Ovis aries: one gene and its partners. The protein of the gene in region 4 interacts with the protein of the main gene of each other region in a biochemical or structural test. Links are inferred from orthologs where the notes say so. Each region holds a gene or a part of one and is shown on either strand. Other genes may lie near its edges.

Region 1 (3,092 bases), on a different chromosome or scaffold from region 4:
TTGCCTCCCTCCACTCGGCCTCTTGAAGCAGAGCTCCTATGTTATCTCCAACCTGCTTCCAGAGTAAGTCTAAGCTCTTTAAGCAAGGCCTTGGCCCCTCCCTTCCCCCTGCGCTTGGCATGTGGCACAAGCGTCTCCCACTCCTACAAGGTCTGGAAGCCATGTCCTGCTTCCCTTGGGCTGGCTGGCTCAGGACTCTTGTTCCTCTGTGTCCCCCACCAGTCCGCTGCTTGGTATCTCTCTCGAAGCTTCTCATGCATGGACCAGGCCTCAGCCCCTTCCTCTTCCCTGGCACAGGGTCCAGGGTCCTCTTTGGTCTTAAACATCATTTTCGGGAGATATTACAGATGCCTCCTTGCCACAGCTGGGTCCAGAGGACGTGCAGGCCAGCATCTTTGGCTGCAGGTGGGCCACCAAGGTTGCCCCTCACTCAGGCCCACAGCTGCCCCTCCTGCCTCTCCCCCAACCAAGCCCCCATGTGGACAGAGAGGCTGCGAGGCAAGAGTGCACTTTCCACGGCAGGTCTTTACTGAGGAACTCAGGGAGGCTCCCTGACCCCAGGGCTGAGGGCCCAAAAGGCACACGGCGGCATGGCGGCGGTGGGGGTCTCCCTCTCAGGTCGAGGCTGCCTTTGTGGACACAGCTTCCCTGCTGACCCCTCTTTGGCACTAGACTGGGCACCACGGTGCCCTCATGCCTGGTGGCCCCAGGGTCCGTCGCCCCTGGGGCCAGCCCTCCCCCACCCACACTCTGGTGATCGGCAGTGTAGGCTGGTGGGGTGGTGGGCGGGCCAGGGGCTGGCTGACCAGGTGCTCCCGCTGGCAATGGAGATGTCTACAAACAGGAATCCAATAAATTAGCTTGGAGAAGCGGGGAGGGACGGGGCTACATTCTTATTATGGCTCGGTAGGAAAAGCTGTGCAATTCTTTTCCTTGTGGATTCTACAGAATGACGGGTGGCGGGGGGGGGGGCCACGAATGAGGGGCTGTGTCTCATTCTGAGGGTCTCACTTGGCTGTTTTTACAGCAAAAAGGGCATCCCAGGGGATGGGAGCCTTGCTGGGTCCCTGGGATGATGGCAATAGAGGCATGGACCATGATGTCTCCAAGGGACTGCAAAGCCAAGAGTGATGAGCTACAGCCTTGGGAGGTGCTGCCTGGCAAACCCCAGGGCTCCAAGGCCCAGGCTGCTGCTGGCAGCAGGGTGCGCCTCTGGCTGCTCTCCCTTCCCCTTGCTCAGGTCCCCAGGAAGGGGGCACAGGTTTTGTGGGTGGTCCCCTGGGAGGCCTGGGAGGCTGGTGAAGCATGCAGCGGGGGGTGGGGGGACATGGGGCTGGGTTGCGCAGGCGCTCTGTCTCCTTCACGTGATCCGAGGGTTGGGGTGGGGGTGGAGGGGGGCCAAGGGCCAAGTAAGAGAGAGCCAGGGCCCTCGGTCAAGTGGCAGCGCCCTGGTTGGCCCCGGGGCCCTGGCCCAGGATCTGGCAGAGCTCCTGGAGGCGCCGCTGCATCTTGGGGATGCCCGCCAGCTGCTGCTCGAGCCGCTGCTTCTCCTCAGTCAGGCTCAGGCGGGCAGCCGAGTCCAGTTTCTCGAACTTCCAGCCACCTTCCCCGTCGAACTGCAGCAAGTGGGTGTGGTACTTCCTGCGTCAGGAGAGGGACCCAGAGGAGGCACTCAGCGGGTGGCCAGGACCCTTGGCCAGAGTCCTGTGGGAAGGGAGGGCACACCTACCACAGGGAGGGTCGGTGGGTGATGGAAAGCAGCGCGATGCCTGCGTCCTTGGCCGCCTGGAAGATCTTGCCTTCCACGTCGATGCTCACGGCGCTGGTACACTCATCCAGGAGAGCGTACTTGGGCCTTGGGGGTGTGGCCATGTGGGTGAGGCTGTGGGCCTCTGGGGCCAATGCCCCAGGCTGGTCCCAGCCCCTCAGGTGGAGGCGGGGAGCCTGACCCCCAGTCCTGCCAGGCCCCCAGGGCTGGGGCCAGGCCTCCGAGCAGTTCTGCTCTCCCCGCTTTAGGAGGTCCCAGGGAAAGAGGTTCGGGGAACTCCCGGTGCCCGAGGGAGCCCAAGCACCCGGGACTGGGAGGCTGGCAGCTCACCTGTGGTAGAACATGCGGGCCATGCCAACTCTCTGCTTCTCGCCTCCCGACAGGACGTCTTTCCAGTCGCACACGGCCTCCCAACCTGGCACAGGACAAGGGTTGACGTTCAGTTCAAGAGGGCTGGGCAGCATCTGCAGAAGGACCCGGGCATGGTGGGTGTGGTAGGAAGGCTTGGGGTTGCTCAAAGGAATACAGACACAAGTGAGAGCAGAATATGGCAGGGAAAGGTCGGCCACTGGGGACGTCTGCGGACACTGTATTAGTCCAAAAGGACTCGGTCCAGATTTACACACATTTCCTCCAATAGACACCGGGCAGTCCTCACCTGCAGGCCCTGAGGATGCCACCCACCGCATGTGGACACTGGGTCTTCTTAGGAGTGGTTGAGTTAAAGGGAGGTCACGAGGGTGGTCCTAATCCAATGGGACTGTGTCCTTATAAAAGGGGACACTTGGAGATGCAAACACACATGAAGGAAAGATGACGTGAAGACACAGGGCACAGACGGCCTCTCCTATCCCAGGAGAGAGGCCTGGAAGACACCCTCCCTCACGGCCAGCAGGAGGAACCGACCTTGCCCACGCCTGGATCATGGACATCCAGCCTCCACGACTGGGAGACAATACGTTTCTGTTGTTTGTCCCACCCAGTCTCTGGTGCCAGCAAAATCACACAGGACCTAACGGGGCTAATGAAGTGCCAGTGGGCAGCAGTCAAGGCAGAGCCCCAAGAATGGCTCTGGTGGTCTCTCTGGAAACCTTCTCACCCACTGGGATGAGGCCTGTGTGTCCCAGTGTGAAGCATGTCAGCAAGGCTCAGGAGAACTCCTTGGATGAGGAGGGAAGTGGGTGATTCATGAGAAACACCTCCTGGCTTGCTCCCTCCACTCTCTTTCCAGAGAACTAGAACTTTCGGTAGGGCATGTGGCCACCCACCAAAAAAAAAACAAAACAAAACACTTCAATGCCCAAGTTGCCCCGATGGGAGGTTT
Region 2 (4,280 bases), on a different chromosome or scaffold from region 4:
ATTACCACCATCTGCAAAGCCAGTTGCCGTGATAATAGGTACAGCCACCATAATTAGTCCACTGCTGCTCCAAACATACTTCATCAAGAACTGCTCTATCATGATGTACCATAAACGTTTGGATAAAATGAGGTTCATCTGATTTGCTAAAGCTTTGTAACTTTTCTGGAGTTGGTTCATTTCTACCTATGGAGAGAAAAAGAGATAAGAATTAACCTAGTATGAATTATAAAAATAAATAATGTATGTTTGAGGACTTCCTTTAAAGATAATTTCATATTTTCTCTTTCTTAGTATACTCTTATGTCTGATTCTAACAACCAATAAATACATATTATGTCAGAATTAGCCATTATTTCACTTGTAATCACATCTAAATTATTTTTAAAATATCTGATATTTAGTATACATAATGTTAAATATAAATATAGACAAGTGATTTATACTTATGGTTTCAACCTTATCTATATAAGATGTTAACAGTAAATGATAATCCATAAAATATGAATAAACAGCTAGAACCTTGCCCTTGATCACACCAAAAATGAGTGAAAATAAACACATGACATGTATATGTGTAATTAACTTCATTTTTGAGCACTCAGTTTACTATGTTATGTCTAAATGCAAGAAGCCTACAGCATGTTATAATTTATATCACTGAGTTCAACGATTCAAAATAAATATGATTTATACAATGTATGAGGCCAATTTTCAAGTGGGAATATAAGTCCTAAATCTGCTTTAAATTTTCTTCTTCAGAATAGTACTACCATATAATTTTTTTAAATAATTGATGGTTTTGAAAATTAATTCTGCTTCATAATCATAATGCCATTTTAACTTTAGAATAATTTACTGTTTAATTTGCCAGGTCATTTGTATTAAGATTTAAAGATTCCTGTCATATTTAATATTCTTAAATGCACTGCAAGTTTATGTAATTAGGTTAACTGTTCTACGGACCTGCTAAATGTTGAAAATCTTTAATATATAAAAATATTCTGGAACTCCTTTTTCCTTCTTCATCTCTAATCTTTACTTTTCCCTCAAAACTAGGCAAAAGTTCATTTCCTTATCTTTTTTTATTTGTCTCAAAATATGATAAGCAATGAAAATGCCATTTGTAAGTCACTCTCCTATACTTCTTAGAACTAAGGAACTCCATCATTGACCAGTCATGCAAAATTGTTACACTTGTCTTCTTATATGAAAGCACTTTTTTCTCTTGAAAAATAAACAATATCATCCTAAATTTTCCATCTCAGTGGAAGCATGTTTACTTAGCTTCTAAACATATATTTTTCTTCAGTGTTCTAGGACCATCTACTTAGTTAGGATTTTAGTTTTAAGAAAATCCTTTGGAGATAATTCTGAGCATGTTTGGATAAGTAGAGTTTTTTAGAGTGGTGAAAATGTTTCATGTTCATTCTCATGAAACTTTAGAAAAGTTTTCACTTAGCATATAATTCTTTAACAGTTTATGATTAAAAAGGGTAGCAAAGCATATATTTTAATACAGGTTTAAATGTCATAAGAATCCAAAATGCTAAAGAATTGAGCACAAAAACAATACAACAGATGGTATCCAGCACTGCAGTGGCAGTTTGAACAATCTCACATTTCACCCATCATCTTAATTTCTTTCTTACCTTATGTCCTCTGTAAAAGGCAATTTCTTCAACATTGGCTATGATTCTGGAGTGCACGTACCGCAGATAGCCTTTTCTATGAGCTTCTTCAGCCACCAATTTACCAAATTTGGGAGAGCAGGCTTTTAACACTTTAGCAGTGGCATATACCACAAGCCCTGCTAAAACAGTGGGCCCAATTGGGCTTGCTCCTCTGGATGTAGCAGTCTGGATAAGTGTATAGGAGGTCAGGATTACATCTAAAATAGGTTTGGTCAAATTGGAGTACAAGTGAGCCACCGACTGAGCAAACATCATAATATCCTCAGTAAGAGACTGGTCAGGGTTTGCCAGCCTCCCATCCATATTGATCACCTTATAATAAGTCTGATTTGCAAAATAGGTCTCATAGGCATGGTCTACTAGACGAGTTCTGAAGGCCAAGGCCAATTTGCCCTCCAAGTACCTTATTGCACTGTTGACAAAGGTGGCAGGGATGGCAATCATAAGCCACTTGATTAACTTGATGATGAAAGTCCGAGGCTTCTTTTCCACAATGCTTTTCACAATTTTTCCATCCAAACCTGCTACATAAATAGACAGGAAGGTTCTTGAAATTAGAGCTACCGAGTGGAGGCAGAGCCATCCTGTTTCAGTGGTCACAAGTTTTGGAAAGAGAATTTTCCGAAGTTCCAGTAGCTGTTTGAAAAAATCTGCATTCACTCCAGGTGAAGGTTTTTTACAAGTGGCCTCGGTGCAATGCAGTATTTCTCTGTTCTCCGCAGCCGAGTAAGCGCCTTTTTTCTCCCTGTGGCCAGACTGCTTTAAATGCTTGCCAATGATGGGATAGAGGGTTTTCAGAGCATATGCTGCAGCTACCACACAGGCAGCCCTTTTAGCAGCCCTTGATCTGGTCCATTTCACTCGATCAGCTGCTGCATTTAGCATATGTATCATTTTCCCAGTTACCCAAACCGGCTTCAAAAAGAATTGGTTTTAAAATATCATGCTCCACAGGAATTCCCAGCAAATGTTTCAGAAAGTTTTACAGCGTTCCATAGTTTGCAGCGTTTCTCCTCTTCTGTTATTGTTTTTATTTTTAAAAATTTTGTTCTGTGACAGATGCTTCAGAGCTCAGGCTCCACCGCGTCTACTGGGGATGATTCCCTCAGAAGCTCAAGCTGCACGCAGCAGCCCCAAGCTCCTCCCTCTCAGCCCCCTCATTGGCTGTAAGGACGAAGGGACCCTTGGAATCCTCGCTGCTTTCCTTTGAACCTTGAAAATGAAGAGAGAGCAAAACGAATTATATCCTTAAACAGTTCAGAGAGTTAAATGTCTATTTTTGGAGAGGTCGAATCAGGGCAGCTGCTGGCGACAAAACCTGCCTAGGCGACTGAGCATGCTCAGCGTCACTTAGAAACCCACAGAAGTTTCAGAAAATACATCACTTTAACGTTTTAGTAGATACCACAAAGGAAGAGCAAAAAGAAAGGGAGATTTCCAAGGGCTAAAAAGGGAGATTTCCAACGACGGAGAAGCAACCGGGGAGATGACGGAGGAGAGGATCAACAGATAAAGGGTATGGAATGAATCTGAAAGGGAGAAGAAAGTAGCATATGGGAGGGGCACTGGAAAAAAACAAAGTATCAAATATTCGGATCTGTTTTTCAGCGCTCTCTCCTCGCCCATTTTTTTTTTCCTTTTAGTGTCTGTGATTTCACATGAAATCCCAGAACCTATCAAACAAGTTGTATGAGGCTATTGTTTTGTAAATAAATGGGAGATAAGTCTTCAGTATAATAGAAAATAATTCTTTGCTGTGACTTCATTCCAAAGTTTACTTGTCCTTATAATAAAAATCTTCAAGCGCCATAACTGCTCTTCTTAACAATGGAGATCTGATACACTGGTGATTATTTACAAAGTGACTATTAAATAAATGAGAGCAGTGTTTCACTTCTACCACCCCTGTGTCCTTTAGAGAGTTGGTACTTGGAGGTATGTGCCTTCATATTCAAAAGTTAACCATTTGGGAGTCAAAGGGTAATTAGATGATAGAAATAGCTTCTCTACCATTTTACTTCATTTTGCAAGAGTTCCTTGTCTTTTGTAAGCTTATGTTTTGTTTGTTTTGTTTAGGTTTAGAGGTAATCTACTTCCCATCTCCATTTTGATTATTTGATAAAAATCAAGTGTTCAAAAATATTCTCAGCATCTCTAATGGAGGACTAAACTGTAAACAAGCAAAATTGTGCATATTTTTAAAAATGTAACAGACATGTTTTTTTAGGCAAAGATGAGTTATTCTCAAAAATGCAAAAACATTTTTGCTTCTCCACCCCTCATGACCTCCCTGCCCCCCACACAACACACACAAACATTTCTAGTCAACTGGAATCCTGGGAAGATGTCCATTAAATGAGAATGGAAGTAGGCAAATTACAACCCAACCAGTGGGCCACATTTGTCCCACCAATTTTTATGTAGCTTATGAGCTAAAAATGAGTGCTTAGTAGCTTCAGTTGGGTCCAACTCCATGTGACTCTATGGACTGCAGCCGGCCAGGCACCTCTGTCCTTGGGATTCTCCAAGCAAGAATACTGGAGTGGGTTGCCATGCCCTCCTCCAGGGGATATTCCCAACCCAGAG
Region 3 (3,514 bases), about 40 Mb from region 4:
TAAAAATGCAGAATAAAATACATTTTTAGATTTGCAAATTTGGGGTAATGCATGCTGAGATTAAAACTACAGACTCAAGCTATGCGGCGTTACATTAGCACTTGGCTCAAATTGAATGTAGTACAAGTCTTAGAGAAAGACCAGGTGTTTCCAACTAAAGCAAAGCATTGAATGCTATTTCCAGACAGCTAGTTTCACCTAAATTATCTTTCTGTTTCTGTTTTTTGTTTTGATTATCAATTTTTGCCTGTATGTATCCGACAGTATTATGAATACAGTATCATTGTACTATTTCATGCAGGGGATACCACACGCATAGTCTTTATGTTTTCCACTCTGTTTGCATAAAAATGGATTCATGAAGGCTTTGTTTGGCACCTGTTCTGTGATCAGCATTGTGCTCAATGAAGTGTGATGTATACTGTAATCAGAAATTATAGGTACTCAGTAAATATTTGTTGAATACATAAATTATACAGTTTCTTTCGTCCTCATGGTAGATTAATTTCCCTTAATACATGGGAAGTGTGTATGTATTTTGTGTTTGCTTTCTGTCAGGTGGAGCACCTGCATAATTTCATCTTGTTTCGGTTCTCTATGGGCTTCATTGACAGCATAATTGCCAAATGTAAGTATGCTTTAAAAGAGATGGTAGAATGGGATTCGTGGGGAAAGTGAGGTGTTGTTGTGGTTTTCAACCTTAACTGTTTGGTTGCAGACCTTGCCACTGTGGTTGGTTACCTAGTCGTCAGTCGTCCTTTCTTAGACTTGTCTCATCCTCGGCATCTTAAGAGCTCACATTCGGAACTTCTGGAGGTAAAGTGGTAATGGCAGTCAGACTCAATTGAACTCTTAAAAATAAAAAATGTGAAAAAAGCTAGTTTTAATCTTCGAAATACAACTGAAAACTAATATTTCTTTCTATTTCAGGATTACTACCAGAGTGGAAGAATGCTTTTGCGAATGTCTCAGGCTCTGGGTCGAATAGTTTTGGCTGGCCGTGAAATGACTCGATTGGCTGGGTAAGTTAAGATTTGTAATACTGAGCAACTGCAGAGAATCTTTTTTTTTTTTTTTAGATGTTATCCTTAATGATTGTGACCAATTGAGGTTGAGATAAGGAGCCCCTGAATCCTCATATTTCCTACTCTTGGAAGCTGGTTTTGATAGAAAATGAGGAAGAGTTTTTTCTGATAGTATACTTTTCATGTTTCCTTAAGATAGCTATTTTAGGTAGCTAGGTTAGTTGTTCTCCAGCTGTCTGCTCTGTGAATACTGGTATTCAATAAGATGGGGAATGTTGAATCATGGCAGTCTTTCCTTAATTTACAGAAAATTAAGTTAGTTAATAAAATTTTTTCATTTGGACTTTTTTGTCCTCTACCAGACTTTTCTTCCCCTTCGCCCTTTGGTACTGGTAATGCATAAGCAAGGATGAAGTTTATTTTAATGGGAAAAAAAAAGAAAAAGTTACCTTGTGGTAGCTCTAAGTCCAGTTGTAAACCTGTCAGGGTGTCTGGTAAAATTATTCTTAGACCATCAAATGGATTAAATATTTCAAAATTTCAAAGTCTAGTATAAAGGGCTTGGTATGGTATTTAAGACAACACATAATGTAAAAAAAAAGCCTTAAGTTTCAGGTTATCTGAAGAAGTTGAATGACTTTGGCTCTTTTCCAGGCCTGTGATTAATTTGCATATCCCTTCTTCTCTACTCCTTTAGCAGTTAAGGCCTTTATGACAAGATAGAAGAGGCTGTAACTCCTGTGAGGAGTCTTTCTTGAGAATGCTGACTTTCTTCCAACTTGTTAATAACTTCCTCAGGCCTTTACATTTCCTGGCATAGAGAATGCTTCCATTCCTTTAGGAAGTTTCTGCTTGTTATTCACAGAACAATTCTGTTTGCTTCTCTGGTTAGAATGCTTTCTCCTCGACCATCATGCCATTCATACTTTTCAACTTCTTGTCAGTAGTTTTGATTTCTCTCTTATCATCACCACAGTGATTTCTCTCTAATATTAAGAACACTTCATCTTTCCCCCTCTTCAGAGGAAGAAGGAGAAGGATCTCCCCAATTCTTCCCTGTTTGCAGGAAAGTAGTGTGCATATGGCATACTTAGAATAAATGATGTCCTCAGAGAGAAAGGCCAGCTTTATCCAAGGCTGTGTAGCCCTCCCAGCAGGGACTCAGGCTTCATGCTTCATCGACCTAAGAAATGCCACTAGCGTGTGTCCTTTTTTAGTATTTACTGGAAAATTCCTTAAAGTTCTAGTGGCAGACAACCTTCTTGACTTGCCTATTAATAAAGTCAGTATCTGTTGCGGTGGGATCCTATGAGACCTCTTTTCTTAGCCCCATCTTCCTGCTCTCCTACTAAACCATAATAGTAAAATGTGTATAGTATCACTAATACTTGTATAATATCATTAATGTTGGTGAGAATTCTTTTAAGTGATTTCATTGAAACTACATAATAAGTTTAGAAACTTAAGTCAGGTTTGTATAAAATAAAATAAAAGAACTTGATGTTACATGTCAATTATATTCAAGTAAATAATAAAAAATAAAAGATATGATAGCCTTTGGAGTTTTGCTTATGGCTTTCTTCGTTTCTTTTTCTTTTTTTAATTCCAGCTTTACTGCTCGGATTACAGAATTAATGCAAGTACTAAAGGATTTAAATCAGGGCAAATATGAACGCACTATGGTCTCACAACAGGAAAAGGGTAAATATGAAGGCACTCAGTCACATACGTTTTTGCTGACATGACTTGATGCTTTAATACTTATTTTTCCATTTAATGTGTTGAAGGAGCACAAGATATTCCCTTGATACCTGGAATTGGAGAAATCATCAATACAGATAACATTATAAAGTATGTACAGATTTGTTAAACTACACAGTAGCCTTTCTCTTTCAGCTACATCTACTTAGTGTTTAATGTCAAACTATTCTCTTTTTATTAATTTCCTCTATAGATTTGATCATGTTCCTTTAGCAACGCCAAATGGAGATATCTTGATTCGAGACCTTAATTTTGAAGTAAGTTTTTACATGGTTGTATAAAAGCTTAAATCATCTTCAAAACGTGAATTGAGAAACTGTTGTCTGAATGTTTAAAAGAATTTTAAGGCTTCACTTAGTCTCTGAATCCACAAAATTGCTTTGAAAAGTAAGCCTTTGTAAAGGAGGACTGCGTTGGAGTAAGGTATTTTAAATTTCCAGTTACAGGATAAATCAGTACTAGGGATGTAATATACAACATGATAAATATAAAAACAATACTGGATGTTGTATGTGAAAGTTGTTAAGAGCAGAAAACCTAAGAGTTCTCATCACACACATACTTTTTTTTTCTGTTTCTTTAATCTGGCATCCGTATGAGATGTTCACTGAACTTACTATGATAATCATTTCATGGTGAATGGGCATCAAATCACTGTGCTGTATACCTTAAACAGTACTGCACGTCAGTGAGATCTCAGTATAATTGGAATAAAAAGTAAAAAGTCT
Region 4 (3,993 bases):
CAAGAGAGTCTGTCTTTTGAGGCTCTGCCGGTGAAATCTCTGTGAGTGGGACCCATGTGGTTCCCCATCTTCCCTCTCACCTGAAGGTCAGTGGCATTCTTGGCTAGTCCACTTAACGTCTCCTTTAGGCAAGAGGTGAATTCTTGTTGGGAAGTCGCATCACTGCCTGGGAGAGATGAAAAGAGCCTAGGTCATTTAGGATTTTAACTGCTTGCTTAAGACTGACCTGGTTACCAGCTTGGACATGGAGCATTTACTAGTGAATTGCTACACTCCAAATCTTTGAATACGTTTATCTTCATAGTTATTTTCATAAATCTACATGGACTGTGTCTCAGTTTGTTCTCTACAATGACACCCACATTAACACTGATCTTTAAAATTATCACTTTTCAAAATAAATAAATAAAAATGAAATTATCACTTTTCAATAATCTTTTCTGTTACTTTCCAACCTATCTCACCCCTTTCATTAAACAGGGTCTCCTTTTTCCTTCCATCTCCTCCCCCATCCCATGGCAGTGGTATCATAATTACTGTCAACTTTTACAAAAAATTTTGGTGTTGTCAAGGGACAATAACCCAAGAGGTTTGTTCAGATATTTCGCACTGTTTCTCTTCCTTACCTACTCTCCCAGCAGCCTCTGAAAGCTTTTGGAACTGCTCTACCAGGTGGGGCTCTTCCTCAGCCAACTCTTTCATTGCTTTCTCAAACTCTGCAGTGGCTTGGGAAGCCAGCTCACTGTCAAACAGTTCCTGGAAAAACTTCTCCTGGGAGGCGAAGAGGGCATCCTGCAGGGGAGAATGTGGCCAAAGCGCATCTCTTACTTGGCACCCCAGTGTACATGGTTTCTGACAGAAGCCACAGGCAGTGGCGCTGGGAGGTGCAGTGCTTCCCTCCTACCCACCTCCATTGGGCATTCTGACTACTTCCCTTCATGAGAACAGCAAAAAGGCCATCTGGCCACTAAGGGAAGGCTATGGGCTGGTATTCCCAATCCAACCATTTAAATCTGTTCTTTTCTTAAGGAACTTCCTTGAGATCCCTGTACTCAATCTCAAGTCCCTGTTTCACAAGGACTGAGGCCTGCAAGAGCACTCACCAATGTGAGGCCAAGGCACCCTCCCCGACTCCCCTCTGGCCCACAAAGGCCTGCCCCACCTCTGCTTGGAGCTGCACGCCCACACCCTCCCCATCCCTTAAGTGGGTGGAATTTATACTTTGGCAGTGTCTCCTGGCGATCTCTTCTGGGGCCCTGAAGCATCAGGGGCCGTGGTGGTAGGAGGGGGTGCTGGGGAGGGTTTGGCCTTATCGAAATCATCAAGAGCACCTTCAGAGACAAGAGACACAGTGTATGTGTTGGTGATGGATGAGAATGCAAGGCTAGAGGGGTTTCTGAGCAAAGCATTAAGAAAACAATCTTTCAAGCTGCCAACCTTCCTAAAATGCTCTCCTTTTTTTTGAGTCTCCCTCTCCTGACCCACTCCTCAATAAGCTTCTCCCTCCCCCTCCCCATTACCTAACATACTGTAATCACAGGGGAAGAAGTCTCTTAAGGTGTAAAAAAACATCTCTCAAAGCTGTAAGAGGACAGTTCATCTACACAATGCCTCTTTGCCATACTTTAATGGTTCCTAGAAATCCCATACAGATATTCAAGAGAAACAGAGAACACAGATGTCCTTAACCCCCCTAGAACTCACTCTGGAGCCCTACAAGGAATAATCTTTGGCAAGAGAGCAGAAGCCTTAAGATGTTTCACCCAGCTTCCCATGGGTCCTGGTACAAACTGAGGGACTCCATATTATACTCCACGGGAGGGCCCTGAACTCTCTTTTCTCTTTCAATTTAGGTCTCCCTCCCCAGAGTTGCTAGAGCTCCCTGTGGTCTCATCTCTGCAGACTCACACAGTCACTTAGCACTTCTCACCATTTCTGTTCACCTTTCCGCCTGCCCACTCTGTGACTGAGCAAGAGACAATAAATATTCACCTCGACCCTGAAAAGCCTGTGTTCTCACCACCACTATATTTGCCAGGCCTAGGGGGAAAGACACCAGCCCCACTCTGGACAAGAAACCAAACCAGACAGGAGTGGATGGCAGGGCTGAGGAGGAAAAGTACAGCCACCTTCTTTCCAGAGTGAACTGTCTTCCCCTGAGGCTGTCTCATCCTGTTTTTCAAACTAATGGGAAGGGTTTGAGCTCTGACATGATGAAAGAACTGGAAAGGGGCCTGGTGGATGAAAGGACTGGGAGAAAAAAAGGAGTGTCTTTTCTGTTAAGGAGGGCAGGACAGTTAACAGAAGAACGCACTACAGGCTTCCTAATAGTTAATGGAAGCAATTCGTGGTTGTTCGGTTCGCTGCCCCCTGAGGACCAAATGCTGCTGCTGGTGGGGAGAAAGTCAGACTTCAGAACTTACTAAAGTAAGGGGAGTTTGGAGAGGGAGCGTGAAACGTCCTCTGGGTTAGCTTCCCCTCCGGCAGGGCGATCAACAGTGTGGGCCGTTCAGGGACCCAGAGAGAACTCCTCAACTACCGCTGCAGAGGAAGGAGAGGGTGACCCAGAGATTTTCTCGAGGGTCGCAGTCAGACTCTCCGCCCCCGTCCAGCCTTTGGAGAGCCTTTCTTACTCCGCCCCAAACATCGCAGGTTTACTTAACCCCCTGAATGGATCCTTACATCCGCCCTCTTTGGGGCTTTCCCATGACGGGCTCTTACTTTCCAGAAGCTCTTCCAATTCCCGGTCGGCTTCGGCCCGGACACCACCGTCCCCCTCAGCCGCGGCCATCTTGCCACCTCTGACTTGCCGTAGGAGGTGGGACTCCGAGGCTCCGCGCCCCGCCCCTGTGCCCGCCCCCTCTGCTCGCGCAACCAATGGTATTGTTGGTCCGTGCCGGGCCGCCATTTTTAAAGGGACAGGATGCTCCGATTCCCGCCCCCGCCACCCCTCTTCTTTCTACTGGCACGCTGACCTAACAGAGGTGAGTTTGCTCTTACCTTCTGCCAGGTTTTTTTTTGTTTTTGTTTTTACTGGCCTGGCTTCCTTTCTTTCAACTTCCCACATTACCTGGCTTTCTTATTATTTTTTTCCAGAGCTGTGGGTATGCCAAATTGGCACAAACTGCCCACGAGCCACCAGAAGCTCTGCGTTTGTAATCAATAAGGAAGTTACGGTATACCCAACATGGTAGTTTTCTCTCACTTCAGTATTTTACTCATATGTCATCTTCTCTGAAATGCCTTCTTTGGCCTCACTAAATAAAACTGCAACCCTTCCCACACACATACATATACAAATCCTGCCCACTTTCCCTCCATTTCTCTCAAAACTTACCTCTATGTGACATACTATACGTTTTACTTATTTATCGTTTTTATCTCCCGTTAAGCCCTTTGCAGTTTAAGCACGATGATGGCAAGGATTTTCATCCGTCATCTTCACTGCTGCATCCCTAGCTCCTGGGCTGGGGATTAAAATTTGGGCATTCATTGTCTACTCTTTGCTCTCTCAGATCCTAAAGAGGCATGTTTCTCTGCAGAATCTACTGGCTATCTCACATTTCCTGTACCCCATTAAAACTATCACAGGGCCAAGAACTTAGAACTCGATATTAGTCTAATCAAATCGGGTAGAAAAGCGACTCTTGGACTTTGGATTAAGCAAAAAGGTACTGTAGAGTTCCTTCCCTGAACAGAAAAACATCTACTTGTGCTTTATTGACTACGCCAAAGCCTTTGACTCTGGTTCACAACAAACTGTGGAAAATTCTTCAAGAGATGGGAATACCAGACCACCTGACCTGTCTCCTGAGAAATCTGTATGCAGGTCAAGAAGCAACAGTTAGAACAGGACATGGAACAACAGAGTGGTTCCCAATAGGGAAGGGAATCCACCAAGACTGTATATTGTCATCCTGCTTATTTAACTTATATGCAAAATACATCATGAGAAACACTGGGCTGGATGAAACAGGAGCTGGAAACAAGATT
Region 5 (4,071 bases), on a different chromosome or scaffold from region 4:
GCGCTGAAATGAAAGGATTTCATAAAACATGAGAAATCAGTTATTGTATATTAGATTTATTATCTTTGAACGCAAGCCTTGAGAAATACATCCTGTGCTGTAAGGTTTTCATTGTTGGCTGCCTTCAAGATATTTGCTTTTAGTTTACGTGTGTACACAAAGAACTGGAACATATTGGAACAGAACCTCTTCCCAGGTGTCAGGATCCTTAGAGTCTCTTCTCCACAAACCAGCGGTAACTCGCCCGGTCCCTGGTTTACTAGAGGAGAGGATGAATTTTCTCGTCCTATCTCCGACGATTACAGAAACTATTTATGGCAAAGGAGCAGGAAAATACCCAGGCTGAGTCTCACATCCTGGGATCTTTTAAAACTCATTTCCATACAGAAGGGGGTCATTCGTTTTGTGGGGTGGGGTGTGGATTTTTAAATAAGGAGGTGCTCGTAACTGCATCGCGCTACCGATACGCTCTGCAGTGGAATCTAATTTCTGGAAAGTTCATCCCCAGGTCTAACCTCGAGTCTTCGGCCAACCAAGCAAGCCCTTCTCCCCTTCACTCAGATCCCCAAAACTTCTCACGCACCCCTCCTTGCTATCAAAGCCTCTCCAGAAGGAAGGCAACGATCCCCTCCACCCACACCTCTCCGGCACCCAGTCCGCAACCCCTCACCTCAGACCTCCTAGCCTCACCTTCTCCCAGGACGCCGGAGCCTGAAAGTTAACCCCTTCCAGCCCTCCGAGAGAACGGGGAAGACTAAAGACAACGCACCTATTGAGTCTAGCAATTCTGTTCCCCGAGGAAACAAGAGCTTTAGAACGAAAGTACCAGGTCCCTCACGCGAGGACTGAGAGAACTCTCTCTCCCCTGCATGTTGGCAAGGAAATCAGTCAAGGTGCCTGGCCAGTCGCAACACACCCTGCCTCCTCCCTGCGGGGGGAGAAGTGCGTGGAGCATTACTCCGGGAGGGTGCGGGACTTGTCTCAGGGAAGCCTCCGTGGGACTCCGACGGCTGGGGCAGTGTAGCCGCTGCCGGAAATATCGATGAACTCTTATCCTTGGTTTAAAATGGAAATTCTTTCTAGGACAAATAAAAAGAGAGCATTTCTTCCCATGGATTAGTGGTATAGACCTAGACTGTAATCCCAAGCAGCAAAGCACCACGAGCCACATCCTGACTTCGGGGGCGGTCCGGGTGGAGGGCTCGGCGCTCTGCAAGTTGTGCCTGGCGTTCAAGCGGCCGGTGTCCCGGGGCCTGGAGAGTCCCAGTTCCGAGCGGGAGCTGAGAGGAGGCGGAGATGGCGTCCCAGCCGCCGCCTCCCCCGAAACCCTGGGAGACCCGCCGGATTCCGGGGACCGGGCCGGGACCAGGACCCGGCCCCACTTTCCAGTGAGTGTGCGATTTTTCAAGTCGCAAGTTTTGTGGGCCGCAGCGCGGACTTGGGAGGAGGCGGTTGAGGCCGTTGTTGGTGCTGAGGCGTCCCCTCCCCCTCTCCACCAGCTCCCACCCGTACCCTTCGAGGGTCGAGGTGCAGCCGGGGCGTCTGCAGGGGTCGTTTCGGTGTCAGACAGCTGTTTCTGATTCGGCAGCTCTCGATAGCGACGTTTTCCAGGGGGTTCCTGTGCGCCTGTGTGGCTGTGGGTGCTCGGAAGCGAGGGGCAGGTACCTTTCTCTTTTCAGTGTCCCTTCTCTTTGAGGGACTGCTTGATTCTTTTTCCCCCACCATCTCCACCTTAAAGAGACTTTCGGTCCGTTGTAGGTGAGAGAGACATTTGCCCAGCCCCTCTTATTAGGGAGCAAAGTCTCTAAAGCCTTTAACTATCTCTCGACAAGTTGGTGAAAGCCCAGAAGGTCACTTTTACGCAACTACAACTCAAGCCTGTATTCTGCGTTCTTTTCCAGCATAACCCAGCCTTGTTTCGGATAGAGATTTGTGAAAGCAACTTGAAAAAGGGAGAGTTCAAAACTGAGGCCTAACGGTGGCCTTTGTGTGCTAGATAGCGAGTGATTTTTTTTTTCTAAGGCTTATGGTTTTTTGTTTGATTTTAATCAGTGTTAAATGAATCTACAACTCAAATAAGGTTAAAATAGAATAAAAGAGAATTTCACAGCCTCTGTGATATGTGTTGGGTGGATCTGGACTTCTTTTTAATTTTTTAAAATTTTTTAGTTTTATATTATATTGGAACCCAACTGTTGTGTTAGTTTCAGGTGTACAGCAAAGTGATTCAGTTATACATATACATGTATCCTTTTTCACATTCTTTTCCCATTTAGGTTATTTCAGAATATTAAGCAGCTTGCTCTGTGCTATACAGTAGATCCTTGTTGATTATCTAAATACAGTAGTGTGTAGGTATGAGTCCCAGACTCCCACTCTATTCCTCCCCCACACCCTTCGCCCCCTGGTAACCATAAGTTCCTTCTCTAAGTCTGTGGATCTGGACATCTTAATTCAGATGGTGAGACTGGAATGTCAGATCACCTACTATGGTACGTTTCCTTACAAAGAAATTCTGAACATACTGGAATGAATTTCTGCTATGTTCTGAAATCTTGTTATCTTTTATTAAGATGTTTGAGCACAATTGCTACTTTACTTAATGATGATAGGCACATAAATAATAAGGTTTAATTATGCTGTTAAGCTGGGTGACACATTCTGCTACCTCTTTTTATGAGTGGTTGACTTTCTTTTTTTTTTTTTTTTGGTTGACTTTCTTTAAAAATTTGGACTGCTCTTGGGAAGAGCAAACTTTTATTCTTGCTTCTGGTTAAGTTCTGTTTATGTAAAATTAATCATTTTCCCACTTTTTAAGAAAATGTGAATTGTAATGTGTTAAACATTTAGAGACTGGTAGAGACTAAGATGATAAATACTCATGTATTAACTCCCAGCTTTAAGCAGTTAATAACATTTTGCCAGACTTGCCACAGGTCTTTTACAAAATAAAAATTAGAGTAACGGTTAAACCCTCCCATTCTTCTTTCCTACAGTAACCACTGTCCCTATTTGGTGTTTACTGTGCATAATGTTTTTGTTGGAGGAGGAAATGGCCACCCACTCCAGTATTCTTGCTTAGGAAGTCCCATGGACAGAGAAGCCTGGTGGGCTACAGTCCATGGGGGTCGCAAGAGTCGGACACAACTTAGGAACTAAACCACCACCACCAATGTTTTTATACTTTAGTATTTGGGTTTGTGTGTGCATTACATATGTATGTATGTATTACTATTTAGTATTTTTTTAAACTTTAAATAAATATTATCAAACTGTATGTTATCATTTGCAAAGTGTTTTTCCACTAAGTATTATTTGAACTTTATTTTTTTCATTCATATAAGCTGTACAGGCATACCTGGGAGATAATGCAGATTGGGCTCCAGACCACTGCAATAAGTGGAATATTGCAGTAAAGCAAGTCGCATGAGTGTTTTGATTTCCCAGTGTTATGTTTACACTCTATTGAAGTCTATGCAGTAGCATTTTGTCTAAAGAAATAATGTACATACCTTAAAGATACTTTATTACTAAAAAAAAATTGCAAACTATCATCTGAGCCTTCAACCAGTTGTAATCTTTCTGTTGGTAGAGAGTCTTATCCCCATTGCTGAAGGCTGGAGTGGTTGTGGCATTTTTTTAAAATAAGACAATGGTGAAGTTTGACACATTGGTTGACTCTTCCTTTCTCAAATATGTCTCTGTAGCATGCAGTCCTATTTGATAGCATCTTACCTACAGTAGAACTTCTTTCAAAATTGGAGTAAAGCCTCTCAAACTCTGATGCTGCTTTATCAACTAGATTTACATAATAGACTATATCCTTTGTTGTCATTTCAACAGTCTTCATGTCCTCACCAAGAGTGGATGCCATCTGAAGAAGCCACTTTCTTTGCTTATCCATAAGAAGCAGCTTTTCACACATTGAAGTCTTATCATGAGGTTACAGCAATAAAGTTACATCTTTAGGCTCCACTTTAGTTCTCTTGCTGTTTTCAACACATCTGCAGTTACTTTTTTCACTGAAGTTTTGGGGCTGCTCAAAGACATCCATGAGGATTGGAATCATCT

Evidence for each region.
Region 1: the proteins of PEX19 (region 4) and ABCD1 form a complex in vitro, tested with the Homo sapiens proteins (3 studies listed by BioGRID and IntAct, with this or other methods). The link is inferred for Ovis aries from reciprocal best matches to the Homo sapiens genes PEX19 and ABCD1.
Region 2: the proteins of PEX19 (region 4) and ABCD2 form a complex in vitro, tested with the Homo sapiens proteins (3 studies listed by BioGRID and IntAct, with this or other methods). The link is inferred for Ovis aries from reciprocal best matches to the Homo sapiens genes PEX19 and ABCD2.
Region 3: the proteins of PEX19 (region 4) and ABCD3 form a complex in vitro, tested with the Homo sapiens proteins (4 studies listed by BioGRID and IntAct, with this or other methods). The link is inferred for Ovis aries from reciprocal best matches to the Homo sapiens genes PEX19 and ABCD3.
Region 5: the proteins of PEX19 (region 4) and PEX13 form a complex in vitro, tested with the Homo sapiens proteins (2 studies listed by BioGRID and IntAct, with this or other methods). The link is inferred for Ovis aries from reciprocal best matches to the Homo sapiens genes PEX19 and PEX13.

Annotation. Positions count from the first base shown.
Region 1 is NC_056080.1:80,529,324-80,532,415, forward strand, and holds the end of ABCD1 (ATP-binding cassette sub-family D member 1), read right to left. Parts: intron 2,233-3,092; coding exon of another isoform or gene 2,213-2,232; exon of another isoform or gene 2,184-2,212; coding exon 2,099-2,183; intron 1,856-2,098; coding exon 1,730-1,855; intron 1,642-1,729; coding exon 1,434-1,641; 3' UTR 506-1,433; downstream 1-505. UniProt on the Homo sapiens protein: ATP-dependent transporter of the ATP-binding cassette (ABC) family involved in the transport of very long chain fatty acid (VLCFA)-CoA from the cytosol to the peroxisome lumen.
Region 2 is NC_056056.1:147,840,832-147,845,111, reverse strand, and holds the start of ABCD2 (ATP-binding cassette sub-family D member 2), read right to left. Parts: upstream 2,802-4,280; 5' UTR 2,589-2,801; coding exon 1,653-2,588; intron 187-1,652; coding exon 6-186; intron 1-5.
Region 3 is NC_056054.1:71,595,153-71,598,666, forward strand, and holds part of ABCD3 (ATP-binding cassette sub-family D member 3), read left to right. Parts: intron 1-558; coding exon 559-628; intron 629-718; coding exon 719-816; intron 817-930; coding exon 931-1,022; intron 1,023-2,634; coding exon 2,635-2,726; intron 2,727-2,812; coding exon 2,813-2,876; intron 2,877-2,979; coding exon 2,980-3,043; intron 3,044-3,514. UniProt on the Homo sapiens protein: Broad substrate specificity ATP-dependent transporter of the ATP-binding cassette (ABC) family that catalyzes the transport of long-chain fatty acids (LCFA)-CoA, dicarboxylic acids-CoA, long-branched-chain fatty acids-CoA and bile acids from the cytosol to the peroxisome lumen for beta-oxydation.
Region 4 is NC_056054.1:111,303,968-111,307,960, forward strand, and holds the start of PEX19 (peroxisomal biogenesis factor 19), read right to left. Parts: upstream 2,804-3,993; 5' UTR 2,792-2,803; coding exon 2,722-2,791; intron 1,332-2,721; coding exon 1,222-1,331; intron 793-1,221; coding exon 627-792; intron 167-626; coding exon 81-166; intron 1-80. UniProt on the Homo sapiens protein: Necessary for early peroxisomal biogenesis. Acts both as a cytosolic chaperone and as an import receptor for peroxisomal membrane proteins (PMPs).
Region 5 is NC_056056.1:62,997,576-63,001,646, reverse strand, and holds the start of PEX13 (peroxisome biogenesis factor 13), read left to right. Parts: upstream 1-1,265; 5' UTR 1,266-1,296; coding exon 1,297-1,388; intron 1,389-4,071. UniProt on the Homo sapiens protein: Component of the PEX13-PEX14 docking complex, a translocon channel that specifically mediates the import of peroxisomal cargo proteins bound to PEX5 receptor.